Styela clava: one gene and its partner. The protein of the gene in region 1 interacts with the protein of each later gene in a pairwise test. Links are inferred from orthologs where the notes say so. Each region holds a gene or a part of one and is shown on either strand. Other genes may lie near its edges.

Region 1 (9,709 bases):
CTTTTGTGCGGTTTGTCCCAAGAAAGGTCGCGAACACAACGTGTAAAATCACTTTAGCAACGTTAGCGACAATGGTCAAGTTCTGAACTACATGTGTATATCAATCAGGTGGTGATCACTGATACATATAGCGTTTTTTGTTCCAACTGTTCGTAATTTTCAACCTCGTGAAGCATTGTTATGTTTTTTAAGACGTTTGGTGGCGATAGCGAACTGGAGCCTACTGAAAACGGACGAAGAAGATGATAAAGAACAACTGTAGTTGATTGGTAGCACAATGTTACTCTGAGATTCTGAGTTTCGGATATGCTAACGAAGAACTAAAAGGCCCTCCATGTGGTTATTTCTGCGATATATTTGGGAACGAATACTCGCGTAGAATTAGATTTGTTTATATGACGAATTATATTATATATTTATAGTGATAATTGTTTACTATTTTTTCCAAGCTCAAAAGCACGAATTTAATATATTTTAAATATGCCTACGTTATCCGTATTGGAGTTGTCAATAGACATTTCATTTAAAGCCGGCTGAGTACCTTTAAGTCAAAGACAACCATGTTGAACAATAAATATTGCTCCAAGCTTAAAGAAGTGATTTAGAAAACAAAAACAATGATAATAAATTATTTCGATACTTAATCTCTGACGACCTACATTAAGTCTACTGTAAAAAAAACAAAAATCAAAAACATTGAGGATTGATCATTTCAATAAGTGTCTAGTCATCTCTGAACTGATTCATCTGTTTCTGATCGTATTATTTTTCAAGAGAACACCACGTCAGCATTTTCAATAGGCCATTGGAAAGCATATTAATTCAATTCGTTTATTACTCCAGACCGCTGTGGTCCATATAAAAACAACACAACAAATAAACATAAGCAAAACGAAAATAACACAATAAATACATAAAATAACTGGTATGACAATCAGATTCACAGTAGTAAGTCTCAAAAAAGAGTTATAATATAGCAATTTAAGAGGGCAAAAGTGAGGTATAGAATCTAAGGTAGCCCGTAACAAACAGTATCGACGGGGATTGTGTGACTTGTTACTAGATTTTAGTTGAACCTAGTTTAGCCTATACATCAGCCTAAAATCTTTAAAGCAGTGTTACATACAATCTTACTCCCGAGCCTATGGTTGAGTAAAACGTTCGCCAACAGATTTACAACAGCATTGCCCACACTCCACGTACATTCAAACAAGAAATGTACATTGTTGTATAAATATAATGTATACAATTTTGGTATCCGATTGCAAATTTCTAGAATCCGTAACCGCAGAAACTGGAACCAAGACCAGGAAAATGAGTATCAAAATAACACACAAAATGATACATTCTTAATATAACACATATATGAATATTTGGGCCAACTTATTAAATCTGCAGTATTTTATGTTACAACCACTATTACTATCCATTACGGCATAAGTTATGCGTTTGATGGATATGGAATACTGTATATAGGCCTATAGGTAAATTAAAATTTAAAATACATCTTATTTTATTTTATTGGGTTTCTTAATATTGTTATAATGTGTGAACTGACATATTAAAAGAAAAGTCACTGATCATTACAATCTTCCGGGATAAATTGTCGTATACAATATGCCATATTATCGAATTAGTGGTTTAAATCCAGGGCTACCCTACTCTTAGCTCACAAAGTATTTTCACCAAGCGCGATTATAACTTTATGGATGGCCGTAAATAGTATTGAATTATTCATAAACTAAAACTGTTGACGTGCCTTTTGGGACTTTCTTGTGCCATTTGAGAAGATCGATATATTTTCGTATCGTAAGTTCGCGGTGTGCTTCTCGCCAGCCACTCTAAAATATTCATGAAGACACTACAGACGGACGGATGTTCGATCCAATTTATTTTTCATTTTAACGTGATAGGCCGCAGACTGGTGCGATTAAAAGAAATTTAGTTAAGAAAACTTAAGGATCAGAGCGCAGTGATCTTCAATGTAATACTTGTAGGCTATATAAGACTTTTTGAGTCAGGGCAGCGTTTGTGGTTATTAAAAAATAATCGAAAACCATCGACAGAAGTTATGAAGCGTAAATGGAATCATCGACCAGCATATAAACTTTATTTCTTGTGTTAGAATCGAAGTTATTTAGTATGTAACATAAACAGTAAAACAAAAGCGGTTTAGGAATCATGGGGATCGGTGGTTGGGGTGTTAATTATGCGTTATGAACGCAGTTGTCAACTTTGAGGGAGCTGACTCTGATGACCGCATGGTCGTATCGCTTCCTCCAGTCTATATAAAAAAAAAAACGTTGTGGGAATTATGTATGAAGGGTTGCTGAAATCATCATGATTGCAATGATTGATAGGTAGTATATATAATATTCTGTAATTTTCACCGCTCTGGAAATACACACAGTTCAAGGAAAATACATGAATCGAATGAAGAAAACTATTCCAAAATGAAAAGATTACAAAAAATAGTTATCGAGTAACGACACCCGTGAAGCCACTGGCTGTTACGACTTCCTCAATGTTCTAAGGCAGGGGTGGGCAACTTCTCTAGTCGGCGGGCCAGATGTGGGAAAATTAAGTCCTCGGCGGGCCGGATTATTACAAAAAATACTTCGGTATCCAATCTTTGTTAAATGCTCGACAGTCTCTGTCAATTTTACGTTTCTTGGGATATTTAATGGTTAATAAAACCTAATATTAATATAAAATCTAATTCCTAAAATCTATTTATATTGAGAATATAAATATAACTGATAACAGTAGTGGGGAATGTTTACAACGCTCTCTGCTTTGACCTTATATTGTTTGTTTACCAAGTGCGCTAAGGCAATGGACCTTTCTCCGAGCATCGACTTCCTTGTTTACTTCGTGACATTCGCCAATCAGCAAGATGCAAAAAGTGACGTAACAATGCTCCCTTTTCGCATCTGCTCAGACAGATTTTCAGGCGTGGTCGTAAACATTACCTCGTTTTCATGTTTTTGAACTCTATTCGTTAGTTTTCAGTTGTGTTTCGGAAATTTAAATAGAAATTAGATAAGTCAATGATTACTCTGTCTTAAGAGTTTTTGATTTAATTGCAGAAATAAAAAAATTAGTGTAGAAATAACTGTGATAGACTAGGCCAAAATTCTTTACCGGTATTTTTAAAAAACATATTGTTGTATGCGATAAATAATAATGATAGTTTCAAACACATACCCCATTTTACAAGCGCCAACTCGCGAAACCACTTTTAAAAGGAGCCCCGACAATTTTGCACAATGGTAAAGACTTTTCACAATGGTAATGATCTTTCGGGGGTCAAAGGTCGGAAGAGAGAGGTCAATTGTTTGTTCATTAAGACAATTGTTTGTTTCCCCAGCTCGCACTGACAGTGTGGTGAGAGTAGAGTGATCGGCAACTTTCAGGAATGATGCGTCGTACCACATTACAGAGTGAGGTTGGATACAGTCGGCGGGCCGGTCAAAATCTCGTCGCGGGCCGGACCCGGCCCGCGGGCCGTATGTTGCCCACCCCTGTTCTAAGGCCATGCATACAAAACAATTAATTTGTTATGTAATGATGATTGACCAAGCATTTCTATTTTCAAGAATAAGTGTGGATTTCCAATTATTATATTCTAAATTCTAAAATGAAAAGGATACTGAATGTAATTGTGAAATGGGGAAAACGGTTACTGTATTTACATAGTAGGTAGCAAAGATGTTGGAGCATTTGGAACTTACAGACTGATCCTCTTAAACAATAAATATCACTATAAATCCTATCCTATGAATAGAAGGAGATTTAAAATTTGCAGCTGTTATCAGTTAATTACTGTGTTTTAACCCATGTATTCTTACAACTGGAGAACTTTGTGTTAATAAATTCCGTGTAATTAAATTCGACTGAAAGCAATTCCAATCATCATTAACTCGTTTGAAACAGTGATAAGTAATTTACTCCCCAAGTTAGCCAGATTCGCTATGCCCTGCTGGTTACGCAAAAGTTGAAGAAATTCTTTGGGAAATCCCCGTACTGCCGCGGGGCTTGTTTGCCGATTTGCCCATGTTGTTTGTTGCTGTTCTGGTCGTGGTATGTTTTCACCTCTGTACTGTACACGCAATACGAATGTAAAAGAACAGTTGTAGGACTAATATCTTATTAAGATATATTAGAGTTAGCATGGTTGAAGAGTTTCGACGCCACTGCTTCGCTGAGGTAAGCTGACACGTAACACCAGAATGCGGTAACATTATCTTGCAATAGCAGAATAAAGTACGGCAAAATAAGAATTAATATTTAGATCGCTTTCATCTGTCCATAGTGAAGATCATATCAAGTTTGATGAACAAGTCAGATTTTATAGTACCTTAGTCTAGTTATTACAGTATAAGACTATTTACAGTGTATTTTACTGTATTTTGCTGGACAGACTGAAAGACAATTGATACGACTATGTAAGCCTTAAATCTTCAGTTTGGTAACATGTGTGTGCCTAATGTAATCTTCTAGCCAATTCTTTGTTCTAGATGAAGGAATATAATATTGCTGATATGGTACTAAATCAAAAAGAAATCATTCATCAATATGCATATTTTGTAAGGAAAGAATAGAACTGGACTTATTTTTATCTTTATTACCGGTAAATGCTTTTCTTATTTCCTTGAATAATCAATTTTATAAGCATTACATAATTGAACTTTTCAATTCTTGAGCGATATGATGTTACTTTGTGTGACTATTTAAATCTTGTCCCTGGTGGAATCTCTCTCATAATTTTGTTAAATATATTTCCTTTTGTACCTAAATAGTGACGATCTATATCTATGATATTTGTTGCCTACCTGTGACTTTGCTATGGGTACAAAAAGTATAATAATGGAATAGCTTTGATAATGTATATGTTCATATGTAACTAATATTTATATGGGATTCAAGAATACATTTTGTAGTTGAGGTAGATTTTTACTGCTTTTAAATCAACAGTTTCTGTTCAATTTCCTGTGTCACTTAGATTTTTTCAATTTAGTGTATGTTTACTAATACTGAAATATTACTGAGATTATGCATTTCACATTGAGTATTTTTGATTTCGCTTTTTGCAAATTCTAAAAAAAACTAAGAGTAACTCCGTGGCACAATTTGAGCTATACAAAAATATGAAAAATATAAAAGTAACATCCTTCTCAGAGATGCTTCAATCTTCAACTACTCAAAATGTTGAAGGGATATGGTCAGTAGTTGAAGCGAAAGATGATTCCGTCCCAACAATATTAATTATTAACAATTTAGCAAAGTTTTTCTGTTGGTGACATTGGCTTGCTTTTTGATTGTTTATATTGACCCAAGACGAGGTCAAAAGAAGGCAGTCTTAACTAATAGAGATTGATTTAAAACTAAGGCTGCTATCAAGTATTAATTATTTGAGGACTTGAAGTATTTATTAAGGTAATGAGAACAGTAAAACTACATATTGTTAATACACATGATATATGATATTTTTCGGAAATTTTTTTTTTTTTCTGCACTGTGGTTATTCTAAATTCATCTTTACAACTTAATTTAATTCAGTATTATTATTACATACAGACATTTTGAAGAAAATCAATTTTGGAGTTCTTTCATTTGATAGAATCTGTGAATAATTTTTTACTATATTTTCTCCAAATCTCCAACATCAATTTTTTTTGCTTTACAAATTTTAGGGAAAATGTGTAGCCTTTTTAACAATAGGCCACTGCATTAACATTAGTCTCATATTTTAGTTAAACTTACTTACTTTCTTCATTCTTAATATCTTCTCAGAATTAAAATAATAAAATTAGTTAGGAATGATCATTCCAAAATTTTCTGTTAATTTGGTAATTAAATCATAAACACAATATCTCAATGCACAAATGTAGTCAGAAATTTCAACAAATTCACATTTGAACATTGGACTGAAGTAAATCAACAGAATGTCTTCTGTGAAGGTTGCAGTACGTGTCCGACCTTTCAACAGTCGAGAGAAAAGTAGAAATGCAAAATGTATTATTGAGATGAATGAAGCAACAACAAGTGAGTATTATTTACTAAGTGAATATTTTTCACACAAAAAAAGAAGTTTATATAGGCTATTATTAAATGTTAGGCATTGGGGCCTAGGTGCGTCATCACAAAATCAATAATTTTTCAAAAAGTTCCTCAAAAATATTTAAATGAACAATAAAAGGTATTTATTTTTTAATCCATATCTCCTAGTTCGGGGTTATAATAGTTTGTTTCATTAGATAGGACAATGTAAAGAGAGAAGTATTTTAACCGCTTTGATGGTTTGGCTCGGAATATCAGACCCATTGTTTCATCTCATTTGCTTTCATATACTGGTATTTATATATTGCCAAATATTGAAATTAATATTGAACATTGAATTACAATTAAAGTTTGGGAAACCATTAGAAGCTTCAAATGTTTGTTTCTATGTTAAAAAGTTGGAACTAGATTCATCCAAATTTGCACACATTCAATTCAAATCTATGTACCAGGTTCGCATTTCATTTTGTCAAATCAAAGGTGTGATATATTTTCATATTTCCATTACGTCAATGCCATTACAAAATTTTTTTTTCCAATAATATCGTTTAATTATATCTGATCAGAATTTTCTATCATGTATGAACTGTAAATGAAAATTGTTTTATTGACAGTTTGATATTATGGCCCATGATCGAACTTGTTTGATTAAGAAATAGTATTCTGAAATGGATAAGCAACTGGTTGTGTATTGCTTCGTCATTCATGCATTTGGGAATTGTGTTGCAGTGGCAAGCATTATTAATTGACTAAGAATATATACTGTCGTTTTCCGCCTCCCATGAGAATTGCATGATATATGCTTCGATTTCCTCGCCATATGTATCAGCTTTCTCCATTTGATCATTGTTCATAATTAAAGCCTGTGGTTTATGGAAGGTTCTAGATGACAGAATTCCCATGTCTACCATTTAAGCAATAGTCAATATTTATTTATGATTATTTTTTCTTGATCAATAAGTTTCTTCCTTGTATTCTATTTTATTAATTTTACTAATTATTACCCTTTTTCAATTACATGATACTTCTGTGAATTAGGTTGAATAATTTAAATTTCCAATATAGGCTACATGCACTGATTTTTAACATTGTATCGTGAAGTAACAATTTTTATAAAATATATTAATATTATTTGATTTATATTCAATTTCAGTTATAAGAAATCCAAGGCAGCCGGGAGACAATCCAAAAAGTTTCAATTATGATCATTCATATTGGTCATTCGGTGAGGTGGGTATCCAGTATTCTCTTTAATTCTTTTAATTCTTAAGAGCATGAATCATTCCTCTTGAACACAACTATCTCTAACAAGCATGAACTATATATAAATCGAGCCAACTGATGCAGTTTATCATATACCCATATATGAATACATATTCCACCACAGTATGACGTCATTCAATTTTTCGGAGCTGTGTGGCAAGAAAAATGGATTGCCATGAAAAATTCATGGTCTTGCACTGAGGAAAAAAGGTTTTACGTCTAAGTTCTAGAAATATGATATCTGAAAACTGTCAGATATTCTATTTACAATTGTATGTATCCTTATAACTAGGAACTGTGAGTAATAACATGGCATAAATTATGCTGCAACACAGTAATTCTACTAACTTTTTTGTTTATTGCGCACCTGATTTTTCTTCCAAAATTCAAGACGAAATCTTCAGTATCAGTAAAATAAAATTACCGTTTTCACTACTTTTGTCAAAAAAGTCAACAGTTAACACAGTAAATAACACAGAAAAAAAATCAATTTTCAACCTGCTGTGGGCATTCTCATTCAGTGTGGTTGAGAATGCTGCTGTAATAATATACTATAACATCATTACCAGTTCTTTCTAAAAAGCCAAAATCGATGATTGTGAAGTTTTGAGATAATTTAATGAAGTATCAATGCTGAGCGTAACTCCTTATAATTTTTTGATCATTGAAGAATACAAAAAACTAAAGCCAAATTTGCTTTTATTATATCACCATGGAAGCATTTTGATACTGTTTAAAATTTGTATCTTATTTTTGTTTTATAGTAATGTGATAATTATGAAATGCATCTGGTAGATGTATTGTTTGAAGATATATTTATTAAATAATAAAGTTTTTAGGCCATTTTGACATATATCATGATTTTACTGTACATGATAAAGCTTTTACAATGTAAAACAAATTTCTAATGATATTGATAGAAGTTTAAAATGTCCTTTTTTCTAAACAATACTTTATTGTCTTCTAAAGTTCTAATTAATGCCTCAATAAAAGAGAAAAATATCTTATAACAAAAATGATTTTATTAATCTTAGTTAAATTTGTTTTTGACCTGATGCCAATTTAAACATTTTGACCTGATCTATAAAAAGATATTCTGAATTAAAGTTTATGATATCCAGATATGAGAATTGACAGGGCTGATATCTTGATTACCTTCAACACTGCTATGAATAATTTATTACATGGTGTTTCAGACTTATATATAGATTTGAGAACACTTTCAAGTTGAAATTCTCAAGATGATTCCACAACAATTTTCTTTTATATCTTCAATATAATCCGAATCCAGATGATATTTATTTTTATATACTACCATATATATATAACACTATTTATATACTTTTTGTTCTGAGCAAGGCTCTGCACACTTGCATATGCAGACATGAGTAGGTAGTGAGATACTCTAGTTTGGGAAGACCAAAATTTTTTATTCTCAACTCTGCCTACTACTAATTTAGTACACTCGGAGTGAGGTGATGGTCATGGGATCTGAATCCGATTAAGTCCAGCCAGTGGTTCTCAAACGGTGGGGCGCGCCCCACAAAGGGGATGTAGACAATTTTTTGAGGAGCCTCAGAAACTAATTAAAAATAAAAATATTTGTTAGATTTGATCTTGCCCACCTTATTTTGAATATTTACATTTCAAAACTTTTTATTTTTTTTTTCATTATTTACGTTCCTGCCACATATTTTCTGTATGTTTTTTGACTAAAACATACTTTGTCTTACTATATGTTATCTGTAGCTTATTATTATTGGCTACTTATTTTTGAGGTGGGCGCGACACGCGAGACTTGACAAATTCTTAAAAGTGGGCGCGGCTTCGAGAAGCACTGCACTAGGCCATCGCACCCACAATATTTTACGGGCGTTTACCTCGTGCCCAACCATCTCACCTTTTACATAAAGAGTTGACTAAGCTTTGGCAAACTGAAAAATTATAATTCTTGGAAAACTATAGTATATTGTTACACATAAGGTGCTGCATGTTTAAAGCCTTGTTGGCAGGAAAATAACGAACTTGTAATAAAAATGTCAATATGCTATTCTGTAACCATCATCGTTAGTCATCATCTTCATTGTTATAAAGATTATTGCTATCATTCTTATTTTAATACAATAAATCATTAAACTATACTTTTATGAATGTTTACTTAAAGCAAGGTAGGTCACAGTCAGGTATGTTTGCCCGTTTTGATTAATTCAATAAGAATTATCAGGACAAAGAAGAGGTCACAGTGGGCACTTTATTGAGCTTTCATTATTGATTATCATTATCTCATGATAAACTCATTTTTATTAAATACCAACTTACCAAATTTTTATTTGTATTTTTACTCACTTCACTACTCACTTCAACCCATAGCTAGAAGCGTCAT
Region 2 (8,895 bases), on another chromosome or scaffold:
TGTTTAATCCATTTTATAGCACTGATAAAAGCAGGAATTAGAGCCTGCGATAGGTCGGATTGGTGGAACATTGCCGTTTTCTTTTGTAGTACAGTATCTAAAATGAGGAAGAAAATCATATTTGGAACATCATGAGTGTAAAAATAACACTAAATACTAACTAATACCTTGAATACATAATGCATTTTATCTGGTGTACTCAATGAGCGTATATATGCTCATTGCATGTACCACAGTGCAGCAGTGTTTGCATATCATTACTATACTATATCTAGTACACTAAATTTTGATATATCACAGTCTGAAATGCCCTATGACAGTATGAATATGGACTATAGACTATATTTTAAAACATCAACTGTCTGTCTACAACTTGATTTCTCACCTCTCAATCGTTTCCAATGCTACTTCTTTCCACTCCGGCATAACTTTTCATTGCTTCCCAGGTTCTTGTCGACTCTATGAATTTAGATTTAGACCAACCGACATTAGTAAAATTGATTATTTTCTTCTCTTTCACACAACCGTGCATTACAGAAACAGCCATTAATTATTATTTCCAAATATGCTGTGGCCTATATAGTAGTATAAGTCTGTTGAATAGTCAAACATTTTAAAATCATTTTCAGGTAGTTATCTTATGTGCGCTACGAAACTGAAAGATAAATGGCCTCGGCTCGCGGCCTATGTAGCAACATCTTGTTACCGTGGCACCTGCAGCACTCTGAACCTCCCTTTATTTTGGGTGTTGCCTATTCGGACTATTTTATCTGACACGTATAATATTATTGATATCACGAAATGGCCAATATTGACGTAAACCATACGGTCGTGGCGTGATTCTCACGTTACCTCAGGTATTTGAACCTTTTCCTCTCTCATACGTTTCAGATTAATCATCGATTGGGTCGAAAGAAAATTTCGCTATGTACCTGGTCTTATTTTAAGGAAAGGGCTCATATTAAAATTATTTTTAAAATTCAGGCTAGGTCTTAATTTCGGGTAAACACGGTATTTTGTATCGCGCGAAGACCAGACAAATATATTTATCCCGTGGAGAGGAATCCTAATGGTGGAAATGGGGTTAGTTAGCCAGTTATTTGCGTAGACTCGATAACAACAATAAGTGCATAGGTCTACAAGAGTTCAAACTACGTGGAACAAAACCACAAAACAGTGTCTAAGTTCATCACTTTATTCAGTCCAGCAGTTATTGCGTGGGTTTCCATTTCACGACGAACGTCTGAACCCTCGTGCAAACCCACCATGACCTGAGTAAGTAAGTTTATTCGTAACAACAAAACAAATAAACAATACATATCACAAAACAAACGCATATCTGTATATACAAAAACTCAAGAGAGTAGGGAAAATCCAAAAACATGTTCGACGTGCTGATACACGTGCTCACTAACCCCAAACTACAATACACGTTTTAGAAAGATAAAAAATCGAAAGACAATTCGGACGTGAGTACATGAGTGTGGAGTTTTAAAATACAATTTCTACTATAGTGTATACAAAAACATAACAGTAATGTAGTCCACTCGAATAAACAAGCGGTACATAGCATGTGGTAATTGATGTGATTTTGAACGCACAAGACTAATAGTTGACTGTACGCTAAACAACAATAATAGGATGGGATTTACATATTTATCCATGGGGAGAGGAAAGCCGATAAGATGGCTTAATCATATGGCGAACCACGGCCTCTCGTCCGGTTACCAGTCCAGGTCGGGTATGGGATTAGTTAGCCAGTTATTTGTTTTCGGAAGCATGGACTTGATGGTGGAGGAAGCCGTAACCGACCAGCGGTTACGTGAACCACCCTACGGCGGCGAGGAGTCCAGCAATTCCATCGCACATAATCATCCCCGCATGGGATTCGAACCTGCGAACCCACGCAAGGTCATCAGAGATGCAGTGGGGGCACGTTTTCCTAACGCTTAGCACACCGCCGAGAAATAGTAGCAGCGTAAATGTGAACAACAACCAACAAAGTTAAATATACCAAAAACATTCCAAGCCCTGGCCTCCAACTTCAGTTTGAACAGTAGCAATTGAAATTCATGTGCTTTTTAAAACCTGTGCTGTACAAGCAGTCTTTTTCGTGGAGTTCATCATCAAATTTCGCATCCGACGATAGACATAGCATTTAGTTTCTCACTTTACTCTCATTTTTATGATTGCCCTTTACGCCTAAAATCAAAATCTATTCGAATACCTGATAGTTTGCTTGCATGCAAATTTGTAGTCAATTTAAATTACTACCTCTGATTCATTGATTTGGTATTTGGAGATTTGTGTTACCGGTAACAATGCTTTATGGCTCTATTTCATTTTGAATTTATTGGAAGGTATTTGTTGTCCCATTTCTTCTATTCGTCTTTTCAACTTCACTAGACCAGGGCTCGATTTTTCCAATATTGCTCTATCAACAACTTAGTTCAGTCATTTGAATTCATTTATTTTTTATTTGAAAAAAAAGAATGCGAAAGTCTAATTTGAAAAGGTCGTAGATGTAAAATGCCGCTCTCACTCTCTCTATCTATATATATATATATGAATTTTATTACCACAAAAAAATATAAAAAGGACAATAGTGTATAAGGGTTCGGAAACAAACATATCAAATAATTCGAAGAAAGCCTACGACAGAAGTAAAATTCAATAAATCATAACATCAGTGTTAAACTCAGAGACCCAGAACAATTCGCAAATTTTCATTCAACCCGTTCATTTTTAACCTTTACAAATTTTTCAATCTTCCCGATCTTAACCACACGGGGAAAGTTCCACTATTGCAGCGGGATTAAATGAAATATCGATTAAAAACAGCTTTACGTTCAGACTCCGCTCACATCTACTACCTAATTTGGCTGTTTTCAGCTTCTTAAGGGCCTCCTGCTGCCCCGATTTTTCGCTTATTGTATAGCCTTCATACATATCAGGAATAAGTTAACTAACTTGGTACAGGTACCCATTCGTTAATATGGGACTTCACTACCGGTGTTTATTCTGGTCGTTTGATAAAATAATGATTCCTATTTTCAATATATACCGTTTACTCGTCATCTTTCAGTCTTTAGTCTGTTAGTCAGTTTAGCCCAGAAGGCCAGAACCTACCTAGTCTTGTAGTCCAGAGATTCAGCGTGAAATAGGGCTAGTCTAAAACTTTTAATGAAGGTGTTCACCGTTTTGCAGTCTTAGGGCAGGTGAGTCATTAGACTAGGGCAGTACCGGTACCGGTAATAGCACAGTAACTTTATTAGTCTGTGCCGACAGACTGACAGCTTGACTGATGTTTCAGTCCATGGACGTTTTCAGGTTTTGGACCAGAAGTTTCATCCTCACAGGATCCTGGGATATTAATGAAATATTTCTAATGAGTCTGATCGTTGTCGCCCATACGCTCCTTTTCCAGTTTTCAAGCGAATCGCATTTGACACCGTAATATTATTTTTTTTATATTTTTAAGTCAGTGCAGCAGTGAGTGGGCGTCAAACTCAAGAAATGTTAATTTATTACTGATACCTTGGATTATAAGTTATTTGATCAATTTTATTATTTTAGACTAAACCTTTCTATAAATGATATAGTCACAGCGTGTTCATGACGTTTGTGGGCCTGTACGATACATTCAATTTACAGATTTACTGGATAATGTTATATATATCGGTATATATTTGTTTATTTCTGCATGTGAATACAAATATAAAATGGAGAGCCGAAATCAAATAATTTACCATTCCAACTACATTCTAAAATATGGAATATCATGATATATTCTAAATTGGACGATGTTCAACAGAGAACCCATAGAAGTCGATGCATTTTCGATGATTTGAATATTGAACAAATTTAAAGAACTTTTAGGTTATAACGGTAGACTTGAACTGCCCGAATTAGTGATTTTTCAAATTATCTCATCAAAAAAAAAAAATCAAAAATTGCAGAATTGTAAAAATTGAATAAAACTAATTCATGAATTTCTCTTTTATCTTGTATCATTTTCATGCGACAATGGATAAAATCTGAAAGTTTGTAATTTTACCATATATTAGATTTTGCACATGAGCTTAAAACTGAATTGCATTGATATAGAAAAGGTTTTATTTGTAGACGTTTAAGCATTTTGGCCAAAATCATCAGATAATCATCAACATTCAAAAGTTTCAAGAATTTGGTTATGATAATAGTGCAAAATATCTCAAATTGCAATTTAAAATATTATCAAGAAATACTAGCCTATATCAGTATGGCACACTATACAAATCGGGTGACATTGTCCCGTTTCAGAGAAACCCATTTTACAGATGATCAGACACCCCTCCTTTGGGAGGCGTCTGGACATTGTTGTCATTCAATATCGGTAATAATACAGTATAATGAAGTTGCACAAAATACTACAAAAAAGCGCAATCTAGTAACGTCATCATTGAATTCCTTGGGAAAGAATATTCAGATTTACCGAAGGAAAAAATATTTTACCGTAGCATTCAAGAGTTTTTAGCAAAAAACGGCAATTTTGGTCATGTAACGGCCACGATTAATTTAGAATATTATTGAGACAAGCATGGTGCGATATGAAGCATCTGACGTGGTCCCAGAAGCCCCTCGTTTGTGAGACACATGGAGTGTTTGTTTTATTGAGCCAAATGAAGGGAAATTCTTGGAATTTGGATAGTGTGCTGTACTGTATATTGGTACAGTATGTTTCAAATTTAGTATTTTATCTATGTTTGACATGGACCGCGGGACAAATCCGGCCTGTTGGGTGATTCAATCTGACCCGTCTGATGCTGCGAGAAATTTCTGCTTTTCAACCAATTCTGCATTTAGGCCTACTATATAAAACTGTCTATCGTTTCCCGAGAGTTTCTAATGATCTGTTGTTTTGCATTTCTTTTCTGCACCAAGATTCGTTGAAATTAATAGCTAAATTATTACGTCACACTTAGATGGCCCGCTAGTCTGAGTGAGCAAAATTTTTAGTCCATAGTCCAAAAACCTTGCACATCCCTGATCTACGGTAAATGCTTTTTTTTCTGAACAGATACTAGCTAAACTCTATTTTTATTTGTATCTCCATATAATGTGATTACAAGCCAGTACTATCGACTTCTTTTATGCTGTTGTGTAGGTAATAATAGTCAACAGATGCAAATGCACCCAGTTTATTTTCATTTGGGATATCGGTACATTTCAAAAACATATCAAAATGATGTGCGATGTTATGCCCACAATTTCAGAAGATAAAATCAGTCGGGCCGGCTCTTATAACAGTGATGGCGAAGAAGATCAAGTAAGAATGATATTCCAATATTTTGCTTCTTGATAATATGTTGATTATTTTCTCAAATTAAATTGTAATTTTGTTTATTTTGTTATGGTAAACCGTTCCTATTTTTCATGATTAATTTTGATGATTTGTTTTTTTGTGAATTAATATGTTTGTTTGCTAATGTCCTGTGTTTTTAAAATAGATTTTGTTGAATTTTTCTTCGGATTGTCTGTTGTTAAAAGTTTGTTTTTTGAAGATGTAATCACTAAATGATGTTGAAATGTCCTATTGATTTCTTCTTTATTGACAAAATTTCACTTCACTGATTATTTTACTGATATGATAATCTACTGTGGCGTTCTGGACTTTTTGTACTTGTCCCTCCTGGAAAACTAACAAGTCAGTATACCCACCCCTTGACAAATACCAAATACTTTTTTACTTCCCGATATCTTTTCAATGAACCCACTGAATTGAACTGTTCGAAGTCTTGTGCCAATCGGCATATGTTTGTGCGTTATGCACCATCATAATCTTCGTAGTTTCAGGAAATCTTAACATTCCTGTAGTCGCTGTAACTTTGCACAGAGATGACCTTCTCTACTTCTGAATGAATGTGTGTGTGACCTTGCTTTCAACAAATTTGTTTTAGTGAATTTTACACTTTACATTTTTCTTTCTATTCAGACAAACATGGAAAATATGATGGTAACCATACTGGATGAAAGAGATAAACTTCTTGATACTTTACAGGTAAAATGCAAGATGCATCAGAGATACTGGGGTTTTGTCATATTAAACATTTGTAATCTGTAGCCTTAACCAAACTCGAAATAAATTCTATTAGAAAAAATATATTTTTTCAAGAAACAATAAATTGAAGTTGGCATCTTTTTTTGAAATTTTTCCTTTCAACATACTTTTTCGGGGAAACTGAAAATAATATGACAGCTCAACAATAGGACAAACTTTGGTACTCCCGGAGTATGTGAACTAAGATGGCAGACACCGGAACGTAGTATGCATACCAGGTTAGGGTTGGGCAATAATTTTATTCCAATTTTTCTTATTTTAGTTCTATCACGAGTTCGGGGAGTAGCCAAGTGACTCTCGTAGTATTTGTACCTGAAATTATGGCCTAACCCTAACCTGGTACACATACTACATTCTGGTGTACGCCATCTTGGTTCACATACTTCGGGAGTACCCAAATTTTGGCCTCTCATCCAGTTTGATGCCTAGTATGGTAATAGTTACTAGTCAATTGTTTGATATGCGGATACCTGGAGAAAGTCGTAACTGACCAGTGATTATATATGAACCACCTTATGACAGGGAGGAATCAAGTAATCTTCTCACACATACTTCTTTCTCGCTGGATTCAAACTGAGAAACTCAATCAATGTAATCAGTGGTGCGATGGCCGTTGCGTTTTTTACACATATCACAATATATTTGACATTGATAGATTTTGTAATAATTAATTAATCTTGTATTCATGCTAATTCTTTAGAAAACGAAAGATGAACTTGAAGATTCAAAAGCGAAATTGGAAGAGGTTTCACATGAAAGAGACTTTCTCAACAGACAACTGACCAATTCGATGCCATCTGTAAGTAGTTTTTTTACTTATAGGTTTTAATCCAAAAAGGTTAATAAACAACAGTATAAAACAGGAAGAGCCTTTCTTATCTATTATTGCCTATTGTTGCTGTTGACGCATCGGACTGCTACTTGCTGATAAGTGAACAAAAGCTAAATTATACTTTTGTTTTTTCTGCGAGAAGAATTCAACAGAACTTCGGTTGACTAGGCATTCCCAATGGAAAAAGGGAGAATTTGCATACATACGTCAAAGTTTTACAGAGTTAAGAACTGGAGTTTGAATCTGAAATTTTCTCCAAACTAAAGCATTTTATTTTGATTCCGCCCATTCAATAGTCTAATATGTGATTAAAATAACTTAAAAATTTGTATTAATTAGCGTTTAAAAATCAAACCTATCAATGATGTACTATTATATTCTTAAGTTTGAACTTAGATGCTTTATTCATCTGCAATGTATGCATTCTTTATCAGGATTATGCTGCTATGTCTAAAGAGCTCAATCAATCTCGTGATAGAATTTTAGAACATGAGGAAGAAATTTCTGAATTAAAAGCTGAAAGAAATAATACACGGGTATCTATGTATTTGTATTCTCATGATAAGTACTGAATCAATTTTGATGTTTATATGAGGTGGCGCGGCAAGCGCCATTGTTATCAATAAAAAAAAATTTTGTAATAAGTGGTTTGCGTAATTGTAGTGACTGTTTAAAGAGCCTTTGCATGATAATTTTCGATTCTGATTGTAAACCCTTTCCTTTTTGAAAATTCTGATACCTCTGTGACAACAAGTAACTCTGCTTGATGTCATTCATTTTTTCGATATCATGAGTTTCATGAACCTAATATGTTAGTCGTTAAGCTATCAAATTTAGATTTTATTGAAGTCTGGAGAGAGAGCTGGAGTCAAAATTGTTATCACTCAGAAGCCACAGCCAAAGCCATTTTTTGATTGGCACGGATTCGGGTGTAAACTCCACACCCCTGGTACATTGATACCCAATTTGGCTCATAACTAAAAAAGCTAGCAATCTTTATCACATATCATTAATTGTACAGTTTATTGATGGATATATTAGATGTGTTTACTCAGTTATCAGACCAATTTCGTATAGAATAGAAAGTGAGAATAATTCAATGCTCAAGTTTTTGTTAAATTTATTCAGTTGCTGCTGGAACATCTTGAAGCGTTGGTATCTCGTCATGAGCGCTCCCTTCGTATGACAGTCGTCAAACGGCAGCAGCAACAAAGTACCGGTGTGTCAAGTGAAGTTGAGGTTTTGAAAGCTCTCAAATCACTTTTTGAACATCATAAAGCTCTCGATGAGAAGGTGAATGTTGCATGTTGTGATCTCTTGAATGTTCATCATTCTAATGACTTAGATATAGAAAGACTTTCTATTATTATATTTGTCATAATGTAAACACCTTAGCGTGGAAATATGCATGCAATAGTGCAATTGTACAACTCTAATTTCATGATAAGTATATTTTTGTCTAGTTTTCACTATCTAACATAACATTATATACAGTGGTTCCCAAACTGCAACCCGCGGGCCAATTACGACCCACGTAACGATTTAATATGTCCCGCCGAACTTTTGAACACTCCATGTTTTACTTTTTTGCGTTTTAGATACCTCCAATTGTTATATCTCAATTCAAGCATGTGTATTTTCGTAACAATTCAATTATATCGATATCTTAATTATACAAAGGGGTATTAGGGTTACATACGATTTTGCGCCCTTGCAGTCGCTCCCCTCTCCTGACTCGCGAATATTCTTTCGCTTCTAATTTTGCCCCCTGGTCAATCAACTTTGGGAACCACTGTTTTATTAAATTATCATAACCTAGGAATTATGTTAATTGAAAACAATTAATTATTATTGCAAAATATTAGCACAGGCTTTTAACCCAATTGGTGAGAACACACAGACAATATAAACATTATATTTTAAATTTGACGCTGTTATTAGGATTTTGAAAACAAGTACAGAT

Evidence for each region.
Region 2: the proteins of kinesin-like protein KIF1B (region 1) and liprin-alpha-1-like interact in binary tests that used the Caenorhabditis elegans proteins (3 or more experiments, as listed by UniProt). The link is inferred for Styela clava from reciprocal best matches to the Caenorhabditis elegans genes unc-104 and syd-2.

What each region holds. Positions count from the first base shown.
Region 1 is NC_135257.1:14,554,886-14,564,594, forward strand, and holds the start of kinesin-like protein KIF1B, read left to right. Parts: upstream 1-5,781; 5' UTR 5,782-5,948; coding exon 5,949-6,048; intron 6,049-7,216; coding exon 7,217-7,293; intron 7,294-9,709. UniProt on the Caenorhabditis elegans protein: Motor protein involved in microtubule-associated anterograde transport. Regulates the transport of synaptic vesicle precursors in the axon of DA motor neurons. Regulates the polarized sorting of axonal proteins.
Region 2 is NC_135252.1:6,346,249-6,355,143, forward strand, and holds the start of liprin-alpha-1-like, read left to right. Parts: upstream 1-5,063; 5' UTR 5,064-5,224; coding exon 5,225-5,308; intron 5,309-5,974; coding exon 5,975-6,040; intron 6,041-6,800; coding exon 6,801-6,899; intron 6,900-7,366; coding exon 7,367-7,468; intron 7,469-8,060; coding exon 8,061-8,225; intron 8,226-8,895. UniProt on the Caenorhabditis elegans protein: May play a role in regulating the structure of the neuronal region, called the active zone, from which synaptic vesicles send neurotransmitter signals across the synapse. This may be in association with the liprin-beta protein hlb-1.